2 linked regions of the Tribolium castaneum genome follow. The protein of the gene in region 1 binds, or shares a complex with, the protein of each later gene. Links are inferred from orthologs where the notes say so. Each region holds a gene or a part of one and is shown in the gene's direction. Other genes may lie near its edges. The genes, in order: unc-45 and Hsp83.

What was found.
Region 2: the proteins of unc-45 (region 1) and Hsp83 are in contact, whole or in part, in a crystal structure (PDB 4I2Z), measured with the Caenorhabditis elegans proteins. The link is inferred for Tribolium castaneum from reciprocal best matches to the Caenorhabditis elegans genes unc-45 and hsp-90. Residues at the interface, in NP_497205.1 of Caenorhabditis elegans: Arg12, Asn16, Val19, Tyr31, Val48, Arg51, Asn52, Met55, Lys59, Val81, Lys82, Phe85, Arg86, Asn113, Asp114, Ile117; in NP_506626.1 of Caenorhabditis elegans: Ser696, Arg697, Met698, Glu699, Glu700, Val701, Asp702.

Annotation. Positions count from the first base shown.
Region 1 is NC_087401.1:16,175,222-16,179,555, forward strand, and holds the start of unc-45 (protein unc-45 homolog B), read left to right. Parts: upstream 1-1,345; coding exon 1,346-2,111; intron 2,112-4,275; coding exon 4,276-4,334. Other genes in the region: Ufd1 (ubiquitin recognition factor in ER-associated degradation protein 1), read right to left, coding at 1-708, 758-878.
Region 2 is NC_087398.1:3,475,465-3,479,950, reverse strand, and holds Hsp83 (heat shock protein 90), read left to right. Parts: upstream 1-1,438; 5' UTR 1,439-1,546; intron 1,547-1,884; coding exon 1,885-4,050; 3' UTR 4,051-4,227; downstream 4,228-4,486. Other genes in the region: GPI transamidase component PIG-S, read left to right, coding at 4,364-4,409, 4,458-4,486. UniProt on the Caenorhabditis elegans protein: Molecular chaperone that promotes the maturation, structural maintenance and proper regulation of specific target proteins involved for instance in cell cycle control and signal transduction. Undergoes a functional cycle that is linked to its ATPase activity.

The DNA of each region.
Region 1 (4,334 bases):
CATCCTCCTTCTCTGGCTTGGTGCTCCGCCTGATGAACCTCAACGTCCCGATTTCGTAATCATAATTGGGGATCCCCCTCACATACGCCGCCCTACAATTGACGACGTCACTGGTCCCGGAATCCTTCCGTTTCTTGCCATCTAATCGATTTCCCGTGCCTTTGAAGGGCACAAATCCGGTCGGCTCCGGCATCAGATCAGCCGGATCCACGGCCATCTCCTCATCCTCCTTCTTGACCTTCTCCGGCTCTTTGTAGCCCACCGGGGGCGCAAACTCCACGTTCATATCGCACTCAATTATACTGATCGCGTTGCCTGGTTTCGTCTCAAGGACGCACAATTCGTAAATCTTCTGGTTGTATTTAACCGCAATCACATCTCCGGTTGTGAGACAAGCGAACGAGCGCAAGCAGTTCTCAAGCACGGCCTTGGGGTTCGTGATGTCGAGGAAATCAGGGGAGAGCGGCTGGAACTTGGAGAAGGTCCCCACTGGGAGCGAAACGCTCTCGATTCGCACCAAATCGCCCTCCTCCAGGACCATGTTCTGCATCATCCAGAGCGGCAGGTACACCTTACCCTCGTCGGCCACGAACTCCAGCACCCCGCAGTGGGTCACCCGGTTGGTCTTCTTGTTCGTGAGCTTGAACAACATCGGGTAGTTGATGTTCAAACGAGTCAGCTGTTCCAGGGCCGAAGGCGGCATGATTACTGGAACAAAGGGCCTGGAATCGCGCAACAAGCCACTAGACGTGCTCACTTTTGCCCCCGCGTTCCACGTCCTGGCGCTCGTTCCCCGGCAGCATGGCAACCGAGTGGCACTGGTAGATCATGTTGAACGGTCTCGGGATCTCCGGGAACATGTTGAACCCAAACTGAAACTTGCCAACACAAATAGCACGCAATACTAGCAACAACACCGAAATTTACCATTCTGTCACGCTTTACTCAGCCAATTTCAAACCAAAACAATTATTTGCCAAATTTTGACAAGTAACGTCAGACTTTGACAGTTTGACAGGACAGAAACCTGTAATTTTGTGCCCCAAAAAGCAAGATTTTGGAGTTGTGGGCGCGTAAACCGTGCCAAAACTGTGACCAAGTCGTGCGTGAGCGCCTTAATTGTCTAATTACTAATAATTGATGCGATTATTGCATTAAAATTAGTTTATGGCACCGCCTCTGAACCTAACCTCAAACCTGGCAAATGTCCAAAAATAGCCTTTTAAATTTAGAAAATTCCTCTCGCGTCTCGAAAAGCCCAGAAACTTCGACTCAAACCGTATAAATACGGCATGTGGCCACGCTGTCACAACCTCAAGTGAAACAGTGTGCACATAACCCCAAAATGGGCGAACCCGAAGCGTTAAAATACAAGGAAGAAGGCAACGCGGCCTTCAAAAGTGGCAATTGGGACTCGGCGGCCAAACTCTACACCAAAGCCATCAACTTGGAGACGAGCGAGAGTCGGGACTTGTCCGTGTTCCTCAAAAACCGGGCTGCGGCCTATTTGAAGTTGGGCAAGTTTGAGGAGGCGTTGAGCGACTGCGACCGCAGTCTGGAGATAGTGCCCCGCGACCCCAAGGCGCTGTTCCGCCGGTGCCAGGCCTTGGAGGCGCTGGAACGGTTTGAGGAGGCTTATCGGGACGCCACCCAGATTTTCAAGGATGACCCCAATAATAGGACGATTCAGCCGGTTTTGGAGCGATTGTATCGTATTGTCCAGGAACGGGTTAAGGAAAATGCCCAGACCAGCACTAAGATCGAGAGTATGACGAAGTTGGCGTTTGATTTGGCCGCCGATAGGGAGAAACGCGAGACTGCGATGAATAATTTGTTGGTGCTTGCGAGGGAAAATGCGGGGTCGAGTCTTATGATTAAATCGCCGGTTGTTCAGCAGATTAAGAAGTTGCTTAAAGTGGAGAAGAATCGGGAAATATGTGTTACTGGTATACGAATTATCGGCGAGCTTTGTAAGCATAATGTGGATAAGACACGAAGTGTTATGAAGGATGTGGGGATCCCCTGGTTTTTGGAAATTTTGGACTCGAATCATGAACAGCAAGTTAACGCAGCGCAGTATTGCATCCAACAAATCCTCAATATTTTCTCAGGTACGAATAAAATGTTGGGTCTAAAATATATCGTTTCACTTTTAATTGAATAAAAATACTTGTTTTCGTATCTCCTTTCGCCAGTTTGTTTTAAAATTCGGCTTAAAAATAATTTTCTTTTTTACTTTATTTTTACTAAATTATAGTTTTTATCGCTTCTCTGGTTCATGTTCCCTCAGATGTTTCACAGACCTCTTTAAAAATTTAAATACAGTTCGATATTTTTTTCAATTATCCATTTACATAAGTACTATGCGATTATTTGAATTTATATTTAGAATAGTCACTTTTTTGTCATTTTTCTGATATTAATTAAAGGTTACGTTTGGACATTTCCCTTTTAGATAGAATAAAAATACTTGTTTTCGTGGCTTCTTTAGCCATTCGGTCTAAAGTGGACATTTGGCTCAAAGTTTAATTCTATTTGTTCATTTACAAAATTTTCTTCTTTCTTATTTATAGATTTTTTCAAATGAGTTTTTATCTTTTTCTTTTGTATTGTGTTATTGCCTGTTCCTCTAGATCATGATACTTCCTTAGATATTACTCAAATGTCTTTAAAAATTTAAATACAGTTCGATAATTTTTTTAATTATCCATCTACATAAGTATTATGCGATCATTTGAATTTATAATTAGAGTAGGCGATTTTTTTCTTTGCGATTTTTCTCAGATATTAATAAAACGTTACGTTTGAAGATTAAATAAAAATACTTGTTTTCGAATCTTCTTTAGCCATTTGGTTTATTTTAGAAACAAAAATGTGAAGAAAGTGGAAATTTGGCTCAGAGTTTATCTCTATTTGTTCATAGAAGATTTTCTTCTTTTCTTTATAGATTTTCAAAGGTGTTTTTTTTTCTTTTGCATTGTATCATTGCCTGTTTCCCTCAGATCTCTTTTAAATGTCTTTAAAATTTTAAATACAGTTCGATAATTTTTTAAATTATCAATATACGTAAGTACTATGCGATCATTATTATTTTTCTCAGATATTAATAAAGCGTTAGGTTTGAACAGTTCCCCTTTTAGAAAAATAAATCTAAGAAAAATGGAAATTTGGTTCAAAGTTTAATTCGTTCACGTAATTTTCTTCTTTTTCTATAATTTTCAAACAATTTTTCGTCTTTTTCTTTTGTATTGTATTATTGTCTGCTTCTCTAGATCATGTTCTCCCAGATCTTTCTCAAATGTCTTTAAATATTTAAATACAGTTCTATACATTTTTAAACTACCCATGTGCATAAGTACTATGCGATTATTTAAATTTATATTAAAATAGGCGATTTTTTGTGATTTTTCTCAGATATTCATAAAGTTTAATTCTATTTGTTCATTCAGGCAATTTTCTTCTTTTCTTCTCTCTAGATTTTCAAATGAGTTTTTGCCTTCTTCTTTTGTTTTGTATTATCTCCTATTTCTACATTTTTCTGTAAAAATGTAAATACAGTTCGAAAATTTTTTAAACTATCCATTTGCATAAGCATCATGCGATCATTTGAATTTATAATCAGAGTAGGCGGTTTTTTTTTCTTTGTGAAAAATTCGAAATTTCGAAATTTTATTGTTGTACTCTTCAGTTTGATTAATTATAATTCTTAGCCTTTTCATGCACGTTAAAAAAACTCTAGAGGACTGTCCTTTTATCCAAATAACTTTAGAGTTATTTCTTTCATTCTTTATTACAGCAGTACACATAAGAATAAGAACATTGCTGTCCTTAATTTTAGCTTTATATTGCTTTTTCAGGATGATTCCACATCCTTTTCTTTTTTTTTGTTAGATTTTTTGTTTTTGGTTTCTTATTGTTTTAGTCTTTTTAGTATCCTATTATCTTCAGGGCGTCTTTTGTTCTTATTCCACTTCTTAATTGCTTTGAAATATTCGTATATGTTTCTGCTTCAATATACTTTTAATAGTTGTAATAGCACAGTCTATATTAATTCCCATTTCTTCGACCATATTTTCTGTATTATTCCTTGCTATCATCTCTTTTTTCATATTCTTCTGAAGTTATATAAGTCCATGTTTTCTTCCTCAAGATCATGAATGATACCGTCGTAACTCATTCCCATTACCTGAAACTATTTTCTAAAACATTTAAAGCTTATTGAAGATGATAACAGCCGTTGTCGAAACGTTGCAAAAAACCAATCACTTTTTTCAGGAATGGACAACAAAACCGACAGCAAACCTGACCAAGAACTTGTGCAAAAAAACAAAAAA
Region 2 (4,486 bases), on another chromosome or scaffold:
TATGCGCTATTATAGACGGCTTTAGTAAGTACACAGTATTAAAAGCGCTGCCGGATGTAGGAGCCGAGGGAACTCTTAGTTTTTTGAAAGAATTCGTTTCTAATTATGGAAAGCCCAATAAAATAATTAGCGACAGAGGTACAGCGTTCATTTCGAAGTTGTTCGAAAAATTTTGCGGTGATTGTGAAATCCAACACGTAAAAATTGCAACAGCAAGTCCTAGATCGAATGGACAAGTGGAGAAAGTAAACGACGTGATAATAACATGCTTAAGTACAAGTACGGATGACATAGAAGGTAGTGATTGGGACGAAAAATTAAGCGAAGTACAATGGGCTATTAATAATGCAACCCATTCGGTCACTAAAAGAACGCCTTTTAGTTTGGTCCGGACATACACGCGAGACGGGTTCACTAATAATCCGTTAGCAGCCGAAATACGCGATTTAAATACACGCTTAAATACGGAAGAAGAGCAAAATTTAGTTGCGGATCGGCTGAAAAGAAATGCGGATCGTATGTGCGCGAATTTTAATAAATCGCGGCGTCAGGCTAGGGTTTTCAAGCAAGGGGATTTGGTGTTGGTACGGGCTGAGGTACCGTCGACCGGCCAAAGTCGTAAATTGAGCCCTAAGTATCGAGGACCCTATGAGATTGTTAAATTTATAGGGAATGATAGATATTTAGTGCAAGATATAGAAGGCGAACAACAAAGTAGTCGCTTCTATAAAGGAATTATTTCTGTAGACAGATTAAAATTAGTTAGTAATTTAGAGGAGTAATAATTAAGATAAAGTAGGTTGTACAAGTGTTAAGGGTAATGTTAAATTTTTATCGGAATTTTATTATTAGAAAAATTTGGGGACATAAGTAGAGTGTTTAGTTTCGTTATTTTAAGTTATGGTAAGTGTCATTAGGGGAATGAGTGATTAGATGGTTGGGATGTGTTCTCGAGGACGAGAACATTGTCAGGAAAGGCCGAGTTGATATGAATTCGTAGAATTGTAAGGGATGCTTGGGAGGTCCGAATGGTTAGTGTGTGTGAGGGCTTTTAGGGCGAGTGTGAAAGATGGGAAACATGTGTTAAAGATGAATGCCGAATGTCTGGATTTTTAGAAAATAAGTTAGTCTGTAACTGGCTTTTGTAGAGTAAAGTAAAATTAAAAGGTCCTGTTGAGAAGATCGTAGTTTATTTACCCTATAATCCTGACGTAATAAATTATAAACTATAACACAAATAAAACGGATTTTTCTAGAAAAATCAATAACGGTATTGCAGATTTCGAATTTCGCGCCCGATTTAGCGGAAGCAACTCATGTTCTGTCCTTGTCTATGGAAGGTTTCGAAGCGTCGGAAAGCGTCTAGATTCTTCTCGAATAATCTAGAACGCAGAAGGCTATAAAAGCAACCGAACAAACACGAATCGCTCAGAGTTGAAAAAGCAAGCGCTAAGTGAAGAGCTAAGAAGCGACAAATTTTCCAAGTGATAATTTTCCCAAAGCAATTTTCAAGTGATTTGTTCGTGTGTGCATTAATTTAAGCAAGGTAGGTGCAAATTTTCCGATTTTCCGGCCGTTTTCAGTCAAGGTTATGTCACGCCGGTGTTTGACCCCCAAGTCTGGGAAATCGTACGTTTTTCGCTAGGCTGCGGTTATTTGAGACGAGTTTATTAATCCTTTGACTATTTTTTCGAATTTGAAGACCGTTTTAGAGTTTTCCCGTTTTTTGTGTGGTTTTCTGCCAAGGTTATTCAGAGCGGTCTTTGACATTGCTACGAAATTTAATCAAATTTTCCGGACTTTTCCACGTTGTTCGGTGTCCGATTAGTCATTTTTTAGTGATTCATGAGTTCGGTGAAATTTCAAGGTCGAATTTAATTGCAGATGCCGGAAGAAAACCAAAATGGAGATGTGGAAACCTTCGCCTTCCAGGCGGAAATCGCCCAGTTGATGAGTCTGATCATCAACACCTTCTACTCGAACAAGGAAATTTTCCTTCGGGAGTTGATTTCCAATTCGTCAGATGCGTTGGATAAAATCCGTTACGAGTCCTTGACCAACCCTTCCAGACTCGATTCAGGCAAAGAACTCTACATCAAGATCATCCCTAACAAGAATGACGGGACCTTGACCATTATTGACACCGGGATCGGGATGACTAAAGCCGATTTGGTCAATAACTTGGGCACCATCGCCAAGTCCGGCACCAAAGCCTTCATGGAGGCCCTCCAAGCTGGGGCTGACATCAGCATGATCGGTCAATTCGGTGTTGGTTTCTACTCGGCTTACTTGGTAGCAGACAAGGTCACAGTCGTTTCGAAGAATAACGATGATGAGCAATACGTTTGGGAGTCGTCAGCTGGTGGTAGCTTCACTGTAACACAAGACCGTGGCGAGCCTTTGGGCCGTGGCACCAAGATTGTCCTTCACATGAAAGAGGACCAAACCGAATTTTTGGAAGAACACAAAATTAAAGAAATTGTAAAGAAACACTCGCAGTTCATTGGCTATCCCATCAAATTGGTCGTGGAGAAGGAACGCGAGAAGGAGTTGAGCGACGATGAGGCCGAAGAAGAGAAGAAGGAGGAAGAAGGCGAAGACAAGGATAAAGATAAGCCAAAGATTGAGGATGTAGGCGAGGACGAAGATGAAGACACGAAGAAGGAAGATAAGAAAAAGAAGAAGACTATTAAGGAGAAATACACAGAAGATGAAGAATTGAACAAAACCAAGCCGATTTGGACAAGAAACGCTGACGATATCAGTCAGGAAGAATACGGAGAGTTTTACAAATCGTTGACTAATGATTGGGAGGACCATTTGGCCGTCAAACACTTTAGTGTTGAGGGTCAATTGGAGTTCCGTGCCCTCCTCTTTGTCCCACGTCGCGTTCCATTCGATCTTTTCGAAAATAAGAAGCGCAAGAATAATATTAAATTATACGTGAGGAGGGTTTTCATTATGGACAACTGCGAAGAACTCATCCCCGAATATTTGAACTTTATCAAGGGTGTCGTCGATTCGGAAGACTTGCCTTTGAACATTTCCCGTGAGATGTTGCAACAAAATAAGATCTTGAAGGTCATTCGTAAGAATTTGGTCAAGAAATGCCTAGAGTTGTTCGAGGAGTTGGCCGAGGATAAGGACGGCTACAAGAAATTCTACGAACAGTTCTCGAAGAATATTAAATTGGGTATTCATGAAGACTCGCAAAACCGGGCCAAATTGTCCGAATTGCTCCGTTATCACACTTCTGCAAGTGGCGATGAGGCTTGCTCTTTGAAGGACTACGTGAGCCGCATCAAGCCTAACCAGAAACACATTTATTACATTACTGGCGAAAGCAAGGAGCAAGTGGCGAATTCGTCGTTCGTTGAGAGGGTCAAGAAGCGCGGTTTCGAGGTCGTTTACATGACTGAGCCCATTGATGAATACGTCGTACAACAAATGAAAGAATTCGACGGCAAAACTCTCGTTTCGGTCACAAAGGAAGGTCTCGAATTGCCTGAAGACGAAGAAGAGAAGAAGAAGCGCGAAGAAGACAAAGCCAAATTTGAAGGACTTTGCAAGGTTATGAAGAGTATCCTCGATAATAAGGTTGAGAAGGTCGTGGTATCGAACCGTCTAGTCGAATCTCCCTGCTGTATTGTTACGTCGCAGTATGGCTGGACCGCCAACATGGAACGTATCATGAAAGCCCAAGCTTTGAGAGACACCTCCACTATGGGCTACATGGCGGCCAAGAAACACCTCGAAATCAACCCCGACCATTCAATCATCGAGAATTTGAGGCAGAAGGCTGAGGCTGATAAGAATGACAAGGCTGTTAAAGACTTGGTTATTCTTTTGTTTGAAACCGCTTTACTCAGCTCTGGGTTCACCTTGGATGAGCCTCAAGTCCACGCATCCAGGATCTACAGGATGATCAAGCTGGGTCTGGGTATTGATGAGGAGGAAGCCATGATCACCGAAGATGCACAAGGAGGCGATGCACCCTCTGCTGATGCCGCCGAGTCCGAGGACGCGTCGAGGATGGAGGAAGTTGATTAAGTGTTCGAATGTTAGGACATGTGTTCTAGTATGTTCTAATTGTCATTCCTAGTGTTTTTTTATATTTCTTAATTATTTTTATAAAAAATGAAGTATTATTTTGGCGGCCTACCGCCGCCGTGTTAACACCTGTAAAAGTCTGAGTTCGTTTTTTGTGAATAAAATTGATTTAATTAATTTCTTGGTTTTATTTGAACGCCTTTAACAAATAATTGTTGAAAAGCAAAAAATCCATCACAAATTGGGCTTGGCTTCGCAAAATCAAGTCACGTGACACATTTGACAGATGTTTGAGTGAATCTTAACCTTAAAAATGGAACCGGACGAAAAACACAAGAGCCAAAAGCCGGCCCCTACAGGTAACACGCTCCCAAAGTGAGACTTTTAGTCCAATTTTGCGTTTCTAGACGATCCGGAATGCATTTATCGCATTTAC